Rhinolophus ferrumequinum: one gene and its partners. The protein of the gene in region 3 purifies or fractionates together with the protein of the main gene of each other region. This does not show direct contact. Links are inferred from orthologs where the notes say so. Each region holds a gene or a part of one and is shown on either strand. Other genes may lie near its edges. The genes, in order: FAF2, ATF7IP and SETDB1.

What was found.
Region 1: the proteins of SETDB1 (region 3) and FAF2 purify together in Homo sapiens (affinity purification with mass spectrometry; 3 studies listed by BioGRID and IntAct, counting the BioPlex papers as one, with this or other methods). This does not show direct contact. The link is inferred for Rhinolophus ferrumequinum from reciprocal best matches to the Homo sapiens genes SETDB1 and FAF2.
Region 2: the proteins of SETDB1 (region 3) and ATF7IP purify together in Homo sapiens (affinity purification with mass spectrometry; 6 studies listed by BioGRID and IntAct, counting the BioPlex papers as one, with this or other methods). This does not show direct contact. The link is inferred for Rhinolophus ferrumequinum from reciprocal best matches to the Homo sapiens genes SETDB1 and ATF7IP.

What each region holds. Positions count from the first base shown.
Region 1 is NC_046307.1:6,067,443-6,074,734, forward strand, and holds the start of FAF2 (FAS-associated factor 2), read right to left. Parts: upstream 3,061-7,292; 5' UTR 2,998-3,060; coding exon 2,935-2,997; intron 1-2,934. UniProt on the Homo sapiens protein: Plays an important role in endoplasmic reticulum-associated degradation (ERAD) that mediates ubiquitin-dependent degradation of misfolded endoplasmic reticulum proteins.
Region 2 is NC_046293.1:28,749,094-28,756,912, reverse strand, and holds the start of ATF7IP (activating transcription factor 7-interacting protein 1), read right to left. Parts: upstream 3,104-7,819; 5' UTR 2,958-3,103; intron 1-2,957. UniProt on the Homo sapiens protein: Recruiter that couples transcriptional factors to general transcription apparatus and thereby modulates transcription regulation and chromatin formation. Can both act as an activator or a repressor depending on the context.
Region 3 is NC_046305.1:51,057,024-51,064,552, forward strand, and holds the start of SETDB1 (histone-lysine N-methyltransferase SETDB1), read left to right. Parts: upstream 1-4,523; 5' UTR 4,524-4,594; intron 4,595-4,616; exon of another isoform or gene 4,617-4,777; intron 4,778-5,758; 5' UTR 5,759-5,769; coding exon 5,770-6,029; intron 6,030-6,807; coding exon 6,808-6,959; intron 6,960-7,529. UniProt on the Homo sapiens protein: Histone methyltransferase that specifically trimethylates 'Lys-9' of histone H3. H3 'Lys-9' trimethylation represents a specific tag for epigenetic transcriptional repression by recruiting HP1 (CBX1, CBX3 and/or CBX5) proteins to methylated histones.

The DNA of each region.
Region 1 (7,292 bases), on a different chromosome or scaffold from region 3:
TTAGTTATTCACACTCAACTGGCTCCAAAATAAATAGGAGACAAGGATAACTACAAAAATCTTGGAAGACATCAAACGGACTGAGAAGCATGATAAACATATCCTAGGGAGTTGCAATCAAACCACATGTCACAAAAATGTGAAAGAGACGAAACCTGAGATTTCTAAAATATTTTACTTTTACTAATTTCAATATATCAAATGAAGCAACATGTTGAGAACCAGCTCCTAGCAGTTTCACTCTGTTCTGTCCCAACCCCTGTGGGGATTCCAAGCGCATGCCCCACACTCTTAGTGAAGCAAACCTGAAACCTAGTGTTATGTCACTCCCGAGTTGAAAAAAACCTGTGATGGCTCCCATGCCTACAGGTTAAAATTTAAACCTTTCAAAGGCTTTGGAGGCCCTGGCTCTAATTTACCTTTCCAGTCTTATTTTCCACTTCCACTTCTAGAAACCCATCGCAACAAACACATTCCACACTCCATCTCCACACCTTGCTTGAGCTGTTTCCTCAGCTATGAATCCTCTCCTCATGTCCTTCACCTGTTGAAATTCTGTTCCTCCTTCAAAGTGGCCAAGTACAGTGGGTGCAAAGAGCCCAGCCTTGAAGTCCAGAGCCAGAACCACTAGATTTCTAACTCTAATTCCATCTCCACTACTTAATAGCTTAGTGACCTTAAGCAAATATTTCAATAGATCTGTTTCCTTACGGCACTTTTTGCAAGGCTACTGCGAGGATGACAAGCACAAAGGCACAGGAGATACTGATTAACTATTAGCCATCCTTCTTTGCCCCCTTACCCCCACCAGTGCTCCTATCGTTCCCTAAATCCCCACAGCGCTTAGTTTACACCATACCGCACTAGGAGCACTAACACACTGCACGGTACTCGTTCATGTATGTATGTGGCTTCTCCATTAGCTTGTAGACCAAACAGATGGTTATGGGTATGGATCTCTAACTCTCGGCCACTTACTCCTTGTGCAAGCTACCTGACCTCTCAGAGCCTGTTTCTTCATCAATAAATCGACGCGGTTAACACCTTATGGTGTTATTTTAAGAGGTTTGAAAGAGTTAATGTACATCAAATACCTGGTATAGTGCTTGACACCTAGTAAATTTCAAAGAACGTTTAATGGCAATTCGGATGATGAACCTGATCCAGCAACTGCTTAAAGAACACATAAATGTAAAATACATTTGCCTTATTAAATCCAATTTCATAACGCAATCTCAATTCAACTTTAACCTGCTACTCGCCTCTCTTACTGAGAGATGTCCGATGACGACTAAAACAGAGGTTCCTATGCACTTTATCTCAGAAATGCTAGCACGTAATCATGTTCTCCCACCAGCATACTACCAAGTACATCATGACTTACAACTCAGAGCACCACGTTACATTTAACAACAGGGGTCTTATCCCTGAAACGCTGTAGTGGGTAAAACGATCTGCCAAAGTTAAACAAAACTCTGCAATTAGTGGTCTACCAGGAAGTGGAAGCTGTTTATTCATTCTGATTCTAATTTACCGTGTCATCCATTTCTCTACTCAAAACTCCAATCAAATGTCAACTACTTCCAATAGTATTTTTCCACTTATAGGTACACGTCCAACCCCCTGCTCATTTTTTCTGATGTATAATTAACACACAATATTCTATTAGTTTCAGATATCACTACTCAGTTGAAGAGAAAAAAACACTTCAAAATCAATTACGGTAAAATCAAGGAAATTACAGAAAAGTGAGAAGTTGTTAAAAAAAGAAAACAAAAAACCCAGTATCACAGCATTTGCAGTCCACACTCAGTTGAACACTGATATTTATCCAGGTTGTATAGCACACAAGTCAAGAGCTCAGGAAAGGTTCTAGAAAGATGGACCCAGCTTTAAATCTGACACCACCACTTACTAACTAGCAGTGCCTGAGCACTAAGGTTGTTGGTAAGTAACTGCTGAAACGAATAAATATTTAGCACATTTTTACATTAGGAAAAAACGTACCACAAACTTTAATTCTTTCCTAAGTTAAATAATGATTAATAAGCAGCAATACTGTTTGGGAGCATTTTACAGTTTACAAAGTCCTTCAGACATCCATAAACTCATTAAATCTCCAGAACACCCTTAGGGAGCAAACATTTTTAAGGTGTATATTTTAGAAACAATAAGGAAACTGGTATCAGGGTAACAAAGAGCCAAGGTTAACCCACCCTGGTGGTCTCCTCCACCCAGATTCTCCATCAAACTCAGAGAAAAGTGCTTAGTGCCAGAAGTTCTCAACTCCACACCCACTGAGGCCGATTTCTGCAAGTTACCATCCTCCTCAAGCACAGTCAAGCACGTGACTTCAGGACTAAGCCCAGGGTAGTAAACCCTGTCAGAAGCCACTGATGACATTTATAACGTAGCACTTGTCTCCTTACATGGTGTCCTCCCACACCTTTAGGGCGGGAGCCAGGCCCGCCCTTCCCCCACCAGAGCGCCCAACACAAAACCTGGCACCTAAGAAGCCCTCAGTAAATGTTTGTGGAAATGGCATGGGATGCTGGCAGCAGGTTTTCCAGGGACCCGAAACGAGGCCAACTCCGCGGTGGGGATTAAGCATCTCAGGTAGATTCAGAGTCGTTGGGCAGAGTGTCCGACCGGGGAAGGATGGCGGAGGACGGGTGCCGCTAAGGGACATCAGGGAAGCTGACTCGCTGACGGGAGAGGGGAAAGGCGGGTATGGCAGCAGCCAAGGCTGAAGGCCGAGAACCGACAGAGGCTCGGGGGCCAGGGGCAGCAGGGCAGTTGGCGTCTGGGGGGGGAGGGGGCCGCCTGCTGGTCTCAGAAGCAGCTCGGACCCAATCTCAGGAGGGTTCTGGGCTCCTCTGGGGGCCCACTCCCCAGCCCGCGGCGGCACTGGCTGCACCGAGCATTCGCTGCTACCTGAAACTGCAGCAGCTTCTCTGTCTGCTCCTGGGTTAGATCCCGCTCCTCAGGCGCCGCCATTTTGCCGCCGCCTCTACGCTTCTGACCCGTCCGCACCGTCACTCGCCGGAACTGATCTCAGCAGCAACCACATCCGGTCGGAACAGCCGCTGGCGCGCAACTGCATCTGCGCGTCCTGGCCCAGCAAGGAGGGGGTAGAAGGGGGTGGTGGGGTGTGGGGGGTGGTGAGAGTTCTTACCGCCAGAGGGCGCCACTCTCAGACCTAGCTCGAACACTTCCGGAAATTGCCGAGGGCCTGTCGAGACCAGTCGCCCTCACAACCTGGACAAAGAAGGGATCTGCTAAGGACCTAAGACTCCTGAAGAGATCGTAAAGAGCCGAGAAGTCCCGAATGCTTCTCGAGAAGCTCCGGAAATTCCCGAATGCCACAGAAGCTTCGGAAATTCCCGAATCGGCAGATTTCGGCTGCCTCTTAAACGTTTTCCGGGGATCTCCGGTATTCTTGAATGTTTCTAAGGAAATTGTGGCCCTTCCGAAATATCGTTTGATGTTTGACTCCTGCCCTGACGTTTCCAACAGTTCCTCACCATCTCTCGGGAGGTTCCGAAAGCCCCCGAATACTGGTTGCGCATTTCCGACGCCGCCTTCAAGTCCGAAGCCGTTGAAGGCTGGGACCGCGGGAAAATCGCTGCATGGAAGTTGATTGCCAGGATTATTTGGACTTGGCCACCTGGGTCTTTGATGTTTAATTGGCCTACCAGCCTTGGGCGAAGCTTTCCGTCTACCCCCGTGCGACTCTGCTCCTGCTGCCCCAGGCCTCGCGTCTCTCGCCCACTGGCCTGTCTTCCCTGTGACCGACCTAAATAAAATCCCGGGACTGGGATCAGATTTGGGTTCAAGTGCTAGCGCCCACCTTGCAAAGTGATGTACATCTTGGGCACACCACCTCCTCTCTGCGCTCCGTGTTGCCATTGGTGGAACGAGAATCCCCAGTAGCCCCTGACGTGCGGCCTCAGCGCATTCCTTCTAGAATGCAGTCCGACCCTCACCCTTTGCACGGCCTTAACCCTACCCCACACCTCAATGTCTGCTTTCCTCTGCGCGCTCCTTGTCCCTTCCAACCTGCCCCCTCTCTTTAGGTCTCCCTTTTGCGTTTCCACCTCTTTTCTCCTGCCATCCGCCTCCTCTGGCCACTGTCCGGAGACCTTGGGGAGACAGAGGGGTCGGGATCTGACGCATGCTTTTCCACAGACTCCTCCTGTGACTCCTAGGGGTAGGGGAGAGTTGGCTTTTCTCCGCGCGGTGTCCAGGGTACTTGGCGACTCGAACAAAGAATTGCACGAACGAGACACAGAAATAAAATGGTGAAAGAATAGTTTATTAGAAACCATAGTACACTCCAAAGAAATAGGAGCGGACCCGAGCAACAGAGAATGGATTACACTCAACAAGTATGAATCACAAGTTTTAGGGTAATTATCTAAAGCAGGGGTAGGAGCTAAAAACCTGGGGAAAAGGAAACTTAAAATTTCTATAGGAAAGAAAAAAAGTGTTTCAGTGGGGGGGCCTAGGGGGGTTATTCGTTGGCCCGTATCACTAGCACGGCCCCAGTGTCCTCACTATCTGCAGAATCCCACCCCTGCCCACTTCACAGGATTGACCAGGTGAGATAGGACAAAGAGCTTTGAAAGCTAAGTCTTGTGAAAAGTACATTAGGTTTTGGTTACTTCCTTTCAGGCCTGTGTCAGGTCTTACCAGGTCTGCACAAACCTCCATGTCCTGGAATTTTTCTTACACCTTTAAGGTAAAATTGGATGTAAATAGCTGTGACTTTAAAGAATTTATTACATCAACTCAAAACATCTGAGGAGACGTACTGGTCAACATCTCCAATAATGCTCAACCCAGACAAACTGGGGGCGGGATGGCAAAGTCAGATGCCCTTCTGGATTTATTGCGTAATTCTAATTTAAGGTGTACTCTTTTAACAGACATACTTTGTACTTACATTAAACACCATTGGATGTTTTTCACTTTCTCAAAGACACATACTTGTTCTTGTTCTACATTTCTGTTTTCTTCCTTGAATAAAGACAAAGTTACAACAAACAATTTTCCTTTTTGTTGTTGTTTTGTTTTTTTGACTCTTCCACAAGAAATTGCCTCAGTGTAGGGCATACAAAATGGCAAACTGGGGAATCCCTTCCCTGTGCAAAAGTGGTTTCTGGTTTTAGTGGCAGCTGATGGCTTCTGTGTGAGACCAGTATTGCCAGAACTTCTCATTTTTAAAGAGCACCGACGAATTTGGGTATGCATGTGAAATCTCCCTGCTTTAAAATGGTGATAACTCAGTTTTTCGGAAAAGTACTGTCAGTCAGCCATAATTGCAAGCCACGTTTCACCCCATGAGCTCCAGTCTGCCCCTCTGACCTGAGCAGAATCCTTCTTTGCCATGGGAGTCCACACATGCCTTGGAAGAAAACTAAGATTTTTTTGATAAATTCAAGATGAAGAGCATGGAAAGTGTCATCAATTATAGGCTTGATCTCTCCTTTGCGAGCATTTTTCGCCCTTGGCCTTTATTTTGTCTTTTAGAGCAGTGCTATCCAATCAAAATATAAAATATCCACATGCATAATTAAAAATAGTCTAGGAGCCACATATAACAGGTGAGATTAATTTTAGTAATATATTTGATTTAACCCAATGTATCCAAAATACCTTTTGTGTGTGTGTGTGTGTATTATACTAAGCCTTCAAAATCTGGTGTGTATTTTACACTTACCCCACATCTCTATTTGGACTAGCCACATTTCAAGTGCTCAATTTCCACATATGGATAGTGGCTACTGTATTGTAAATGCAGTTCTAGAGCATTCCAAAGATCTTTTTAATAGATATATTAATTATATTCATCCACAGATTTTAGGAATTCATTCAACAAATATTTATTGAATGGCTCTGGACCAGATACTACAAAAGATAAACAGGACACAGCCGCTGCCCTGTAAGAACACACAGTTTAATTGAAAATTAATCTCATCATTCTCTGGAAGGATGTGTGTGTATGGGGGAGGTTTCTGAGTCCCAATTTTATGCCTATAACACACTGGAATTTGTGACTGAGAGGTATCTCCGAGAATCTAATGAATATATGTTTCTCAAATCCTATTAATAAGGCTTTGCTGACACCTTACCATTTTGTTCCTAATAAAGGACAAATTCTGTCCTGCGGAGTCCTGGAAATCCTAGAATAAGCTCTCAATTTCTGAGCAGTTGGAACTTACAGTGTTTCCTGTCAGTTAGGGACGTGGCCTCTTCATTGCAGGCCATTGAGATGTCAGCAACAGTTTTCGTTTGGCCTCCTGCCCCATTAGGTTACTCGTTATAGGTTAAGTGAAGCCAACAGGAATTAAGGTGACTCAACTAAATTCATCCAAAAAAGTAGGAGCAGAAGTGAGAAAGGGAATCCCCACACTCATTAGTACTATATGATAGATCCTTAGATTTCTGCTAGGGGTATTTAGGCTGATGACACAAAGTAAGGTTTGGAGGCAAAGTTCTGCCTTAAATAAGTCACAAAGCCCATCTCATGTTCTTCAGGGAGACCTGAGGACAAACTCTGATGCCACCATTAATTGATTGTGTACTTTGGCAAGGAAACCTCTCTAAGCCTCAGTTTGCTCATCTCTCAGCTGTAAACAGACTAATAGTCCCTACCTCACGGGTCATGGCAAGGATTAAATCATTTTTTACAAGTAAATCAGATCCTGTCACTCCCCAGCTCGGAAGTTTCCATTGGCTTCCCGTTGTCCTCAGAATAGAACCCAAGCTCCTTTCCAGGGCCTACAAGGCCCTGTGCGATCCTCTGACCTCATTCCAGGGAACTCGCTACTTGCAAGCCTTGTTGTTCTCATAATCCCTCGGGGACTTTGCATTTGCAGTACCCTCTGCCTGGAGCACTTTCCTGGAGTTCTCACAGGGCTGACCCCATTTGACATCCAGATCTCAGCATGTGTAGGCTGCATCCTCAGAGGAGACCTAAACGTTTGTTTTCTTCAAAGCACTTAAATCACTAGATGATATTATCTAGTTTACCGTTTGTCTCCCAGCTCTGCCCTCCATGAAGGGAACAGAGGCCAAGTTGGCTTGGGCCACCACTGAGTCCCCAGGGCTAGGGACTGCACTGGGTACAGAGTACAAGGTCTATAAATATTGGGACTGGCTAGATCCTTAGAGCAAAGACCTCACGAGTGTGGGTGGACTTATGAGAGTAAAGCCATGGGAACTAAATCGGGAAATATAGCTACTGCCTGTGGGATAGAGAGGGATGGTCTTTAGAGCATCTCAAATCA
Region 2 (7,819 bases), on a different chromosome or scaffold from region 3:
AAAGAGCAGGAATAAGATTATGATCCAAATAAAAAACTGATCAATTGTTACTGATCAATAATCAACCATGGAAAAGTCACATAAATCACCAAAACTTTTAGAGCAATTATTTCTAAATGCTAATTAATTTCAACATGTTTCAAATGTGCTATAATAAGTAAAAAATATTTAAATATATCCATCATGCATTCAAATTACACTTTAAAGGGAAAAAAAGACTATTTTAATGGTTTATGACTTAAACCTTTTTTTCTTTTTCTTTTTTTTAAATTTTTTTGGGGAATATTGGGGAACAGTGTGTTTCTCCAGGGCCCACCAGCTCCAAGTTGTTGTCCTTCACTCTAATTGTGGAGGGCGCAGCTCAGTTCCAAGTCCAGTCGCTGTTTTCAATCTTTAGTTGCAGGGGACGAAGCCCATCCCATGGTGGAAATTGAACCAGCAACCTTGTTGTTGAGAGCTCGCACTCTAACCAACTGAGCCATCCAGCCGCCCCATCAAAACTTTTATTTCTAAACTAAATACTATGAGGCTTTAAACTCATAAAACTAAAAAGATTTTAAATGACCCCAATCACTTTCATTCTTGCGTAGCGTGACCTAGTTTTAATATTTATATATGCTGCATATGTGTCAAAATTTTGTGGCATCACAACTATGAAAGCACAATTTCAAAACATGTTTGTTATTGATAAAGTACAAATAAACAAATAGTGGATATTCAGACAATTCTTCAGTCTTAGTTTTAAGTTTATAGAATTGTATTTGCCTTTTTAACAAACATGACAGCAAAATTGACCTATCAATACATATTTACATTGTACATTATGTTCTTCAGTGTTTTCAAGTACCTCATAATCTTAACATTAATCTACAAGGCAATCATTTGTATATTCAAATAAAAACATCATCTTAAATATATAAACCAGGAGCAGCCAGTTAGCTCAGCTGGTTAGAGCGCGGCGCTGTTAACAATAAGTTTGCCAGTTCGATCCCCACATGGGCCACTATGAGCTGCGCCCCCCACAACTAGATTGAAATAACTACTTAACTTGGAGCTGATGGGTCCTGGAAAAACACACTTAAATTTAAAAAAAGATAGATAGATAGATAGATAGATAGATAGATAGATAGATAGATATACCAAAACATTTCACTTTTCTGGAAGTGCAAAGTCTACCACGCCCTAAGATCAAAGTTCTTTTCTTAACTTAAATATCTATGTGTATACACATACTCACTAATACAGAAAAAACAAATTTTCAACTCTAAAAAACACCAGAAACAATGTCAAAGGAGGTGGGGGAGGGGTGTGTATAAAAGGGAAGATTACACAACTGCCTTCTAAATACTGTTCTGTGTAGAAGACTTCAGAAGTCCAGGAATTATATGAACGACAATTTTTTATTGTCAGAATAGAATAAAGAGGAATTTTTTCCTATCACTCCATTCTATCTCATATTCGTATATAATGTCATTTTTTAAAAAAATCCACCAACCACAAGTATTCCTTTCAATTACATCTTAATACTTAGTAATGGTACTTATTTTAGGCAATAAAAACGTCCCTAAAGCAACCAAGATTAAAAAGCAATAACCACTTCTTCATCTGGCAGGTGACTGAATTAAACTTGAGTTATATAACCAACCAGAAAACCAATTGTTACATATACAAACCACAAATGAAGTTTATGAAAACCATTTACAAGTTTTTAGAACAGTAAGAAATAATTTGCACAATGGTAGAATTATAGTAAATCGTATAAAACTTCTCCCAGGGGTGTTATATAAGATTTACATATAATGACACTACCATTTTAAACTAAAATAATCAGTGACTTACTTATAACTACCTTCTTTAAGAAAGTAAAAACAGGAACACACTTATAACTTTAAACAAGATCAAACACAACAATTTTATCTCATACGTATGTATATGGGGCAGTTTTTTTTTTTAATCAGCTAATTTGTTTTTATTTTTATTGATGGTTCACTTCCTCATCATGGCCTCAGTGTAGGTGGGAGACCTTTGCAGAGTTTTTTATCAGAAAAATGTACCAAGTGTTATATTTTATATATCATAACAAACAAAATGCTAAGAAAATGGCTTAATTTTTAAGGAGTAACAAAAATGATCTAACTGAAGCAGTAATAGACAAGTGACCAGAGACTGAAAAAGTGTAAAACTTAAATGCATGTATAAGAGGAACACAAACTGATTAAAATTGAAACTTCCTTGACTTAGGATCAAACATTTTTAAAAAATAAACACCCAAGGAGATTAAGATTACTTCTTAAACAAGACCTCCTTATATTTCCAAAACTCAAATTGTTTCTCTTTTGTAAACATTCCATAACAGCACTGGTAAAACAGGGTTAAAAATATAATTGCAAATATGCAGTTCAAATAAATGCACTTCCCGTGAGAACACCACTAGGTGCTGATCTTTATCTCCCTAAATATAAACTGGAATCCAGCAACACACTAAAAGTGAAATTATAATCAAGAACCACAAGTGACGATCACTTTTACAGAAAATTAAGTCTCTCAGAGCTTCTCAGAGAATCGGAGAAATATAAGAAAACAGTTTGAGGTCAGTACAGAAGTACAACATAAAAGAAACGTTTTCCCTGAAAAATGTGAGAATTTGAGGGTAACAAAATGTAACCCCTCTAGAAGGAGGTAAATTAAATCTAGAACCCAAATGGCGTCCAGCAAGAACATTAGATCTTGAAAATGAATATTGCGCTTGCGCAGCCACCGCCCCGCCAGCTGCACAACTGCAGCTAGAGCCGGACCCGCAAGATCACGTGCTCCCATGCAGCGCCCGCCCGCAGCTCCGCAACCGCGCAGGCGCAAACACAACTCCCGCAGCCGCCATAATGCGGTCTTGACTCTTCAGAAATACAATAGTAATTTAAGAAAATATGGTTCTAACAGCCCCTAGATTGCACATATACCTTTCGGGTCGCGAGATGAGGACGGGGGAACCAATATCCTTCCCAGAGAGCCGTTTCCCGTAGCCGTCCCCAATGCTGCCTCCTCAGTCTCGCGCACTTCACTCGCCGCGCCGCCGCCGCCGCCGCTGCCGCCGCCGCCGCGCCGCCGTCGCCGCGCTGCCGCAGATTCAAAAACAAACCCGCTTCTCCCTTGCACGCGCGGGGCCGTTATGCAAATTACTGTAGGCGGGGCTCAGTGGTCGTAATGTTGACCACGCCCCCTGTGCTATCAGCCAATAGGCTCACGGACTGGACGTTTCCCATGCAAATCGCCTGGCTTATTTTTTTTTTTATTTGAATGAGGGAAATTGGCCACGCCTCCTGTCGTGGAAAAGAGAAGGAAGTCTGAGGTGGTGGCGCTGTGCCTTTCAGTTGCAGTGTGAGGTGTTTTTCAGTGGAACTTCCTTCGACCAGTGAGTAGCACTTTTTGAGCGCCCTCTATGAGTCTTAGAAGGAAGGAAGGAAACAGGTAGGTGAGAGTTAAAGAGCCGAGGGGAAGATTTTCAAAAATGCTGGAGTATGTTGATTTATATTAAAAACTCACTAAGTATACTAAGTATAAGTAATGAAGGAATGACGAAAACACATCTTTTCTTTCAGTTGTTCTGTGCTAGACCAAGCAGTTCCAATCACATACTTCCACTAGAAGTTGTATTCCTTATATGCAATTTTATATTGGGAGCCAACCCTTAATGAAAGCCACAGGAGGTAGTGGAGAAGGTTCTACTCCTTTGGGAGATCTGGGCCTACACCCAAGTACTTCTGCTTACTTGCCTGTTCCGTGGAATAAGTGTGTTAGTCAGTTTTCTTATCTCTAAAATGGTGATAAAACCTGTAGTTCAAATCGGCTGGGAAGGCAAAAAGATAGGATAAGAGTAAGTGTGTTATGCAAAGCAAGAAAAGCTTGACAAATAGATCGTAAAGTTTGGTTATTGTTTTTAAATGTAATTTCTCCCTTAAATTAATCAATTCATTCAGTATTTAGCAATCACTGGGTTCCAGACCTATATTAGACGCCTGTCCTCAAGAAATCTATACTATAGTGGAGAAGACAGAAAAGTAAACAGGTTTTGTAAATAGTTAAGAAACTAGTGCAGGGTGGTTGACACTGGTTGTTATAATTTGGGCCTTTTAACTTAGTTGATGCTGGGTGGCTTTTAAGAATATCACCTAGGGCCGGCCCGGTGGCTCAGGCTGTTAGAGCTCCATGCTCCTAACTCCGAAGACTGCCTTTTCGATTCCCACATGGGCCAGTGGGCTCTCAACCACAAGGTTGCCAGTTCAACTCCTCGAGTCCCACAAGGGATGGTGGGCTGCGCCCCCTGCAACTAAGATTGAACACGGCACCTTGAGCTGAGCTGCCACTGAGCTCCTGGATGGCTCAGTTGGTTGGAGCGCATTCTCTCAACCACAAGATTGCCTGTTCGACTCCCACAAGGGATGGTGGGCTGCGTCCCCTGCAACTAGCAACAGCAACTGGACCTGGAACTGAGCTGTGCCCTCCACAACTAAGAATGAAAAGACAACAACTTGAAGCTGAAAGGAACCCTCCACAACTAAGATTGAAAGGACAACAACTTGACTTGGAAAAAAGGCCTGGAAGTACACACTGTTCCCCAATAAAGTCCTGTACTCCTTCCCCAATTGAAAAAAAAAAAAGTCTTACAAAAAAAAAAAAAAAATATCATCTAATCCAGATTTGGAGAATCAGTAATGCCTTCCTAAAAGGTAATCTCTAAGATGAGAACTGGTTTAATAGATTTCTTGCCTAAAGCTGGACTTTATTGTGAGAGCAAAGAGGAATCACTTAAAAGGTTTAAGTCAGGAAATAACACTTGCATTGCTTAATTGCTAAGCTTTGTAAAGTCCTTAGCACAGAAAATTGTACATAGGTGTTCAATAAATTTCAAATAGAGGCTCAATTATAACAAATTTATGTTACAATTTAGTTATAGGTGCTCAATTATAAAATAAATGCTCAGTAAATTGTAAATATTGACATTGATATTAAACGTTACATTCTATAGTAAGAGAAATGGGATTGGGATAATAGAATCCATTAGGTTTCTCTTTGTATATCTTCTATAAGCAAGTAAAAAGGAATCATTTTTATAATACTTCACTCTCAACTGTCTAGGCTAATGGCAAAGGGAAAAATAATTCAGCACTAACTCAACAATTGATCTATTTTCTTAGATATGCTGATATTCTAGACTTGTCTCCCTATGTCTTCAACTAGACAATTTTATTGTATTTGACTGTCCCCAGATATTCTCAACCACACATTTATAGTCTCTTCAGCTATTCTACCTGATGGTTGACCTAACCAATTCAATTGTTTCTTCATTCAACAAGTATAGTATTTATTATGTACTCACATACTATTCTAAGCATTGGAGATGCCCACAGGAAATGACACTGCTTCTAAATGGGGAATAAGTCATATATACAGATAAACAATATGAGATCAGTATTGTCATGGAGGTATACACTAAGTATAAAAGAAATGTAAAACAGGAGGACCTAAATCTTCCTCGTAGTATACAGCAAAAGTTCATAGAAAAGGTGATATTTGACCTGACTCATAATGTAGAACTGAAAGTGGTTGTCAGAATAAGTACAAAACAAAGAGAATTCAAGTTAGATAAAACAGAAACTCAAAGACACAGAAGAATGAAAAAAGGTATAGTTTCAACTTCTAGGTAAGATGGTGTTCAAAATAATTATCAATCCCTGTGGCACCAACTGACCAATTAGAATAGAAGCAGGCTTGAACACTCCCTACTTTGTAAGATGTTAATCTTCTAGTTGTAGGATTGTGGAGAGGTTCAGGGGTTCTTTAGTTGGGGACTGAGGTGGACTCAATGGTAGGAGGAATATTCAGGGGTGGGGATATAAGGGATACAATACTTCTAGTGGAAGTATGTGATTGGAACTGCTTGGTCTAGCACAGAACAACTGAAAGATTTCCATATTTTACTCACCATTATGGCCTTATTTATACATACTTTCTGAATATGCTTCTAGAAAAAAATGCCTGAATAAAACAAGATCTCAGAACTTCTGACAGAAAAAAAAAATCCAAAACCCAAAACAACCTAAAATAATAAACATACATAAATGATTTTCAGTTGTAGCAATTGAGCAGAAATTAAACAAGGAAAACAGAACTTTTGAAAAATAGAATACTGGGGCGGTCGTATGGTTCAGTTGGTTAGAGTGCGAGCTCTTAACAACAAGGTTGCCGGTTCAATTCCCACATGGGCCAGTGAACAGCACCCTCCACAACTAGATTGAAAACAATGGCTAGAACTCGGAACTGAGCTGCAGGTGGGCTGCCGGTTTGCTCAGTGGTTGGAGCGCCAGTGCTCATAACACCAAGGTCACCGGTTCGATTCCCACGTGGACCAGTGAGAGTTTGGAGCTGCTTAAGCTTGGAGCTGAGCCACCAGTGGGCGACCAGTTTGTTCCGTGGTTAGAATGCACTGCTCATAACACCAAGGTCGCCGGTTCGAATCCCACATGCGCCAGTGAGCTGCGCCCTGTACAACTAGACTGAAAACGATGCCTTGACATCCCGGGAAAACACACTGTTCCCCAATTAAAAAAAAAATAGAATAAACTGGAAAAAGAAATAGCTGAAAAGGAAAACTGAAGTTTCTAAGTACTATAACATGAAAGACAGACTAATAATAGTGCTTACAAAAATGGGCTCTGAAGGCTTACTACCTGAATTGGAATCTTATCTCTACTTCTTACTTGCTGCATGTTCTAAACTTCTCTATGCAAATAGTTCCTGAAATATAAAATGGGATAAAAAATAGCTTCTATCTGATAAAAGTTTTTATGAAGATTAAATTCTGGTCAACCACTTTGAGCAATAGTGGTTATAGTAATATCTCAATAAGTGTTAGCTAATAGTAATTGTAGTAGTAATAATAGTAATAGTAGTAACAGTACTTGTTAGAATAGTAATAGTACAGATATAGCTTAACTTGAGCACTTTCTATCTGCACATCTGACACTACCATTAAGAAAGAATATGAATTAACTACAACCTGATAATTTATATTATTGTCCTCCAATTTGCAGAGAAGTTTACTGAAGTGTTAAGTAGGCAAACCTGGGAAAACTCAAGAAACAACTCTTGGGAATAGGAAGTGTGGTAAACAGACCTCTAAAATAATCTTTACCTTTTTGTGTTCACATCTGTATAATCCTGTCCACTGGAGTGTGGGCAGAACCCATGACTTGCTTCTAGTCAATAGAATATGGCAAAGATGAAAGAATTTTGCAGATGTAATTAAAGTGCCAAATATCAATATGGAGTCAACCAAAAGAGAGATTATCGTGGTTGGACCTGACTTAATGTGGAAAAGGCCCTTTAAAAAGGAATTGGGCCTTCCCTGAGGAGATTCTTCTTGCTGGTTTGATGAACTAAGCAGCCAAGTTGAGGAAGCCCACATGGAAAGTTACTACAAGTGGCTTATAGAATCTTTGGGTAGCCTCTAGGACCTGAGGGTAGGCTGCAGCCAACAACCAGAAAAAAAAGGTACGAACATCAATCGTATAGCCATAAGGAAATAAATTCTACCAACAAACCAAATGAGCTTGGAAGCAAATTCTTTACCAGTCAAGCTCTCAGATGAAAATGCAGTCCAATTAATACCTTGATTGTATCTTTGTGAGACTCTGAGCAGAGGATCCATATAAGTCAGACCCAAACTCCTGATACACAGAAACTGAGATAATGAATACACATTGTTTTAAGTTACCAAGTTTGTGGTAATTTGTAACTTGGTGATAGAAAACAAATACAGGAA
Region 3 (7,529 bases):
ACAGTGACCCAGCATGTGACAGTGACCTAAGAGAGCCATAGCCTTGGCATCGGAGTGGGAAGCATCACTGGGACTTGGGCAGGGACCTGGACCAGCTTATAAGTCACTTTAGAGGAGACATGGACCCACAGCATCATGCTGGACCGGGCATTAGCAGTGATACCAAATGGTTCGGAGACGTAACTCTAACCACACACTGTTAGCAGAGACTTGATCATTGTTTCTGGTCCCAACTCTTGGAAGCAGGATTGAGCAGAGTAAATTCCCAGGATTATTCGAAAATGGAGGCAGGGGAACCAAAGCCTTCCAATGGAGGTACTAGAGTTTACGAAAGAGAAAGAGAGAGAGAGAAATACGATTTGTACCCTGATTTAATGAAAAGAAATCCAGGGTAAGGTGACAGTCAGGGTAAAACAAAATCAGATTAAGATTGATGTAGTACATGAGGGCTACAGTGTGTGCCCCCCAAAAAACTCAGAAATTAATGTTTCCCATACCCCTTAAAATAAAATGCAGGACAAACACACGATTAATGAGAGCATCAGTCTGCGGTCACTAGAGAGTCACAGGTCTGTTACCTAACTTTCTCCAGTAACCTACCTAAGAAAAAAACGCATCACTCAGAAGAAGTAGACCGTCAGTGAAAGCAGAGAAGGAGGAACAAGTCGCAGGTCCAAAGTGAATGCTATTCAGGAGACTGGGCGTTTCTAGTCCCTGGGGCTGAATAGTCCTTGTGTGAAGGTTCAGTGAGTTGCCGCCCACAAATCGTTATCTGGTTTTACTGCGCACATTATCTCTGCCAATCCGATGTCCTTAGGCATTCCTTTCACACACACACCTCTCCCCCTTAAATTGTCAGCTACAGATCCCGTCGCTCTGCAGAGAAGTTTCACTGGGCCAGGCCCCTTCCAGTGTTCATCTACAAAGCGCGTGTGGGTGTGCGTTAGATTCTCTTATTTGTTTTTTTGAGTCAACATTTTCAAATTATGTTATAAAAGTAACAAAATGCACATGGTAAAAAAAAAATTGCTTTCAAACTATTACCTAAGGATAAAAATGCACAAAATTCTTATACACTGCCTTGTTCCCCAATCCTTCCTTCCAGGGGTAACTGCTGTTAAAGTAGTTTGTTTTTGCATGTATGTGTATCTTTCCAGACAGTTTTCTGTTCTTTTTCTTTTTCATGTAATGTGTGAATAAACTACTTTTATGTTTTAGTATTCAAAAGGGATAAAATTGTGTACTGTGAGAACCCTTACTGTCACTCTTGCCCCCACCCTTCCATTTGCCCTCTTCAGAGACAACCAGTGTTAATTTCTTAAGTCTCCTTCCAGTGATATTTTAGGTATATGTATATTGTTGCCACTGTTTACACAAATAATAGCATGCTATGTATCGTATTCTGCACCTGCTTTTCTCATTTAATAGTAAGATAACATCATAACAACGCACAAAGAGTTTCCTCAACCTTTTTTAAAAACACAGCAGGAGTTTGGGTGTGCCGTAATTTGTTTAACCACCCCCTGCTGATGGAAATTGCTATTGTTTCTAAATATTTTGCTATTTCAAACAATGTTGCAGAAGATAATTTAGCACATATCATTTCAAAGGCGTGCGATTTCAACCGTATGTATGACCTAGAAGTCGAAGTGCTGGCTTAAAGAGTATTTTACAAAATTTTTGAATTAGTTGTCAACATTCAAAACTCGAAAGTTTTCATAGAAAAATATGAATTTTTTAAGTCCCTTGAAAAATTGGAGATCCGGTAACATTGTATCTATCACACAGGACAAAAATTAACTGAAGTTAAGTAGCAGCTGCTCCCTGGAGATGACACATGCATTTCCCAGGTGACCACACTCCTCACCCACCCCATTTTGCTCCTTTACTTTCTTGATGCCTGAAACGCTTTGTTTTTAATCCCTTTCTTCTTTTGTTTTGATTCTGAGATCACTCAGCAACCTTTAGATTATGATCTAATTTCCCTTAAGTCTGTTATAGGGAAAGGATCATTTGGCATTCCAAGGTTTTGGCCCTTGGGCTATGACTTCTCGTGGTCAAGTATTAAGTAGCATGTGGTTGTGATGTTTCACAATGGATTGCCGGAATGAATGTGCTGAGCACACCAACGTGAATAGTCCAATTGGTGTATCAGTTATTTATGACTTTATATTATTAAACTGGCAATAAACTACGTCAATAAGGTGTACAACTTAATAATGTGAGTCATTTATAACAGGACCTAATCATCTCCAACAAGAGTTCGTCTTCAGATCTTAACAAAAACAAAGCCAAATCTTGGCCCTGCCCTAGAAAGGATTACACAGCTCAAACTTGCCTTTCCTACAGTGCTTCTCATATTTTAGTGAACACACACATTACCTGGAGGTCTTATTAAAATTCAGATTCTGATTCAGTACATCCTTAATGGGACCAGCGACTTAGAATCTCTCACAAGCTTCCCGTTGTGCAAGGCTTTTAGAAGCCACTTCCTGCATCCCACTGCTGATTTCTACGTCTCATTGTTTCAACCTTCTCAGAGCAATGAAGAAATCAGACTGGAATATGATGCCCCAAATAGCTTGTTATTTCTCTTCAACATTCCCCATTCCTTATTTCTACCCCAAACCACCCACACACGTCAGAAAGCTGAAAGAATCTAACAGAAACTGTGGGGACAGAGCCCCAGGAGAGCAGTTTCCAGGCTCTCGACTTCACGTGGAAAGGTGCTGGTTCGGGGAGTAGATGGCCATCTGCTGTGACTAGTTGGCCATAAGCTGTAACCAGTTAGCTATTGGCCACTAATATAACTGCCGTGGCTATGCTTGTGTGTTGGTTGGTTGGCAGAGAGGTGGATGGCAGATTGCAGCTACCAAGTGGGGTGAGTTGGTTGACAGAGAAGCAGACAGCAGATTGCAGCTCCTGCTTCCTGTGTGACTGTGGGGACAGAGCCCCAAAAAGCAGTTTCCAGGCTCTCGGCCTCACATAGAAGGGTGCTGGCTCAGGTAGTAAATGACCATCGACTGTGATCAAATGGCCAGCAGCTGTGGCTAGTTGGTCGTCAGCTGTAACCAGTGAGCCATTAGCCATGAATATAACTGCCGTGGCTAGGCTAGGGGAAGAGGCTAGCAAAGAGAAAAAAGAAAAAAGGGGGAGCTAGCAAGAAGATGGTGGCTGAGTCTGCAAGCGGCACATAGAGGGTTGAGAATTGTGTGGTTCCTGGTTCCTGTGTCTCCAAACCAGTCGCCAGTGAGAATATAGTGGTGTGACTCCCCTACCTATGGCTCCGTGGGTGTTCCTTTTTGGCCTCACCATGTCCTGCGTTCTTGTGTGGGGGGCGGGACCGGAGACCCCGCCGGACGCCCCGCATGACACTTGGCGTAGTCGGCAGGATCCCCTGCACTACAGTGACACACAGGGTGGCATGCTGGGTCTCTGGTCCCGCTCCCCACATAAGAACGCAGGACATGGTGAGGCCAAAAAGGAACACCCACAGAGCCACAGATAGGGGAGTCATACCACTATATTCTCGCTGACGGCTGGGTTGGAGACACAGGAAGCAGGAGCCACCCTATCCACAACCTGCCGTCCACTTCTCTCTGCCAACCAATAAAGTAATCTTTATTGCTAGCTGCAATCCGCCATGCTAACTGCAATCCCTGCTTGCTAGCTCAGCCTCCATCCTCTTGCTAGCCCCCATCTGCTGCTAGCATAAGCACGGCAGTTATATTAGTGGCCAATGGCTCACTGGTTACAGCTGACGGCCAACTAGCCACAGCTGATGGCTATCCAATCACAGTTGATGGTCATTTACTACCTGAGCCAGCACCTTTCCACGTGAGGCCGAGAGCCTGGAAACTGCACTTCTGGCTCTGTCCCCACACTCAGATCCCATTCGGGGGAATGTCTTCCACAGAAATAGAAGTACTACTTCAAAAGGATGTTAAAGTTTATTGTTGCATTATTGGTAGTGGCTAAAAACTAAAAATAATTTAAATTTCTAAACATGGTTTAGACAAACTTTGAAGTATTATGCAACTGGCAGACAAATTTTATCCTTTTTATTGACTTCAAGGGATGTCCACGTGTTAAATGTAAGCAAAACAAAACAAACAAAGAAATTTCACACACATGACCTTGTACCTACAAGCCTAGAAAACTAAGCTAGTATTTTACTTCAAAGGAGCAGGGGTGGTTAAGCCTTGAGAGAGGAGAGGATATTATCATGTTTTTCTTATTACTTACATCTTGCTATTCCTTGACTTGTTACACTTTGTATGACCTACATAATAAAACAAAAGCCAGTAAAAGTGAGAGAAAAATATGTAAACCTGAGTGTCGACCCACTGAATCTTTACTTAACAAACAGTATTGCTGCCACCATTTGGTGTGGGGGTGGAAGAGGCGGAGCTTCTGTAATATATTCCAGACCACGCCCACTTTACTTGGCCAATCGCTTCTCACGTGTGCCCTGGACGGCTCGCTTTGACGCATGCGTACTCGCCTGAATTTGCCTAGCCTCAGAGGGTTGCCCTGCAAGCTTTGGGTTTGACCCCATCGGGCTACCGTCGCCGGGACCGGAACGGCACCTGAGGTTTGCTTCCGGGCGTCTCTTTTGCTTCCCTTTCCCTCCCCTCACGTTTTTACCTTCCCCCTGCTCCCTTTTCTCTTTCGTTCTCTCCCGTAGAGGCCCACCCCTGAGGCGTGAGTCTGGGGTCTGGTTGGTGAAAAAGAGCTATTGTAGCTGGAAGCAGGGAGGTGTGGGACATTAACTGAGGTATTTGGAAACCAAGGGCTTGTCTGGAATGTTTTGTTTGTGGGAGGAGGTCGGGTGAGGGTGGGAAGGAAGTTTTCCCCCTGCGGCGAGCGGGGGCGGGGTTGAGCTGGGTTTGCAGGAGCGTGGGACGCACCCCTGCAATGGGTAACACAGGGGTGGGGCGGGATGTGGGCAAAGTGAAAAGTGGAGGCGCTGAGAACTGGCATTGGGGTTCCCCCGGCGTACTGGCATCAGTTTTGCTTTAACCATTTGATCAGAAAGGCAGCTAACATCAATGTGTGGGTTATTTGGATTGTAGGTTTTAGGTAGCCACGTTTTATTCCAGGTTGCTTTTTTCCCCTTGCTTTGGAGAAATCTCGTTGCTGCAAGCTTTTGTGTGCTTAAGTAGTATAGACTCTTCAAAAAGTAAATTTCCACATGTAATGTAAGGAGAACAGCTAATTAAAGAGAAAACAGTGAGTTAGTGAGTGATAGACCGACCTCTCCTCTCCAACTGGAGGTATTTGTTCAAGCTAGGCAATAGCGTGCAGCCTCCTTTTATTGCACTTTATTGCGCTTCACAGGTGTTACGTTTTTTAGAAATTGAAGGCAAAGATCCTCTACCAGCAAAAAGATTATTGCAATACTCGCTTTATTGAGGTGTCTGGAAGCCCAACCCACAATATCTATGAGGAATGCTTATATCTTAGTAAATCGGCTCTCTTGAGTTTCCGAAAACATTATTTCCAGTAGTTCCCTGTTGTACAGTATATGCCCTCTCAAACTTTTAAATCTTACTCAGGCTTAAAGTCTATAGAGTAAGATGAGAACTCTGTAGAATCTCAGCATCATATAGTGGAGAATGGGGAGAGAGACCAGAATCAAACCTAACTATATTTGAATAACAAGTAAGGAGTAGAAAGGAGTTTTATTAGAGGGCCGAAATTCTCTGTTGCGGTTATAATGACTCCAGAGGTAATTTTAGCTTTCTCTTCCATGTAGAGGACAACAGCATGTCCTCCCTCCCTGGGTGCCTTGGGTTGGATGCAGCCACAGCTGCAGTGGAGTCCGAAGAGATTGCAGAGCTGCAGCAAGCAGTGGTTGAGGAGCTAGGCATCTCTATGGAAGAACTGCGGCAGTTCATCGATGAAGAACTGGAAAAGATGGACTGTGTACAGCAGCGCAAGAAGCAGCTGGCAGAGTTGGAGACGTGGGTCATACAGAAGGAATCTGAGGTGGCCCATGTTGACCAGCTCTTTGATGATGCATCCAGGTGAGGACTGCATGGGAGGAAATCTCTCCATTGGCAGACATTTTTAAAGTATAATTGTTCATGACACTGTGTCACGCACCTTATAGTTTACAAGCTACAGATGTGCAAAACCTGACTCTGCCTCAAAGGTTAGAGTCCAATATCTTACCTCACCACCATCCATATACAGAGGCTGCCAAAAAAATGTATATACATTTTAAGAAAGGAACAAACGGTATTAAAATTGTAATACTCTATATACTGATAACAAAAGATGAGGACGGTCATATGTATACATTTTTTTGGCACCCCCGGTATATAGAATATTCATCTATCAGAGCCTAATATGTGATCGGAAGTAGGGGCCAGATCTTGAGTCCCTTCCCTTCTTCCTCTTGTGCTCTACTTCAGAACAAGTGCTTTGTTTTCTTAGTAAGATCATCTGAGGATTGAGGATTGTGAAGAGTTACTGTCTTATGTAACTGGAGCATTAATAAGGTCCTAGGGCCCTAGAAGATTTATTTCTGGTGCCCTGGTTGTCACTTAGGACACATTTTCGAATAACAAGGTAGATGATGAGATGTGTTTGAAAGGACTGTATTTTGGGCTTACTGTGGATTTTTGAGGAACTAGTCTGGAAACCGCTACTGAAACATTTTTCTATGGGAAAAGCATTCTATTCTAAACAGAGATGCTTTGGAATATGGCTGTTTAAATTGAGGTCAGCATATACTTAAATATATATAAATTCGAATGGCTCTACACCTACTGACCTTTTCTACATGTGTTCCAATATTAGGGCAGTGACTAATTGTGAGTCTTTGGTGAAGGACTTTTACTCCAAACTGGGACTACAGTACCGGGACAGTAGCTCCGAGGATGAAGCTTCCCGGCCTACAGAAATAATTGAGATTCCTGATGAAGATGATGATGTCCTCAGTATTGATTCAGGTAAGAGATGAAGCTGTGGATCGGAAAGTCTCAGAATTGAAATTGAAACACTAGAAGATGAGAAGATGGAAGAGAGGAGAAACCACTGTCACTAACTCCATATTCCTAACGTTGGACTTGTCTGATACAGGAAGAAATAGAATATTGTTAGTATCAGAGTGTCTCCTACACGCTACTTCCTGATTGGTTATCCTCCTTTCTTTTTATAGGTGGCATTAGCACCTATGTATATATCCCAAAACAGTACATTGTTTGGTTTTATCTATTTTTTAATAGTTTTTTTTAAGGTATAATTTATGTACGATAAACTGCACCCGCTGTAAGTGTACAGTGTGCGTTTTAGTACATTTATACAGTAATGCAAACTTCAGCGCAATTTAGTTTTAGGACACTTGCGTCACCCCAAAACATTCCCTCGAGCCTGTGTGCGCAGTCTCTGTGGTTACCCCAGCAACCACTGATCTGCTTTCTTTCCGTAAAGTTCTGTCTTTTCTAGAAATTTCATATAAATAGAATCACAATATGTCTTCTGTGGTGTGTCTGGCTTCTGTCACTTAACATAAGGTTTTC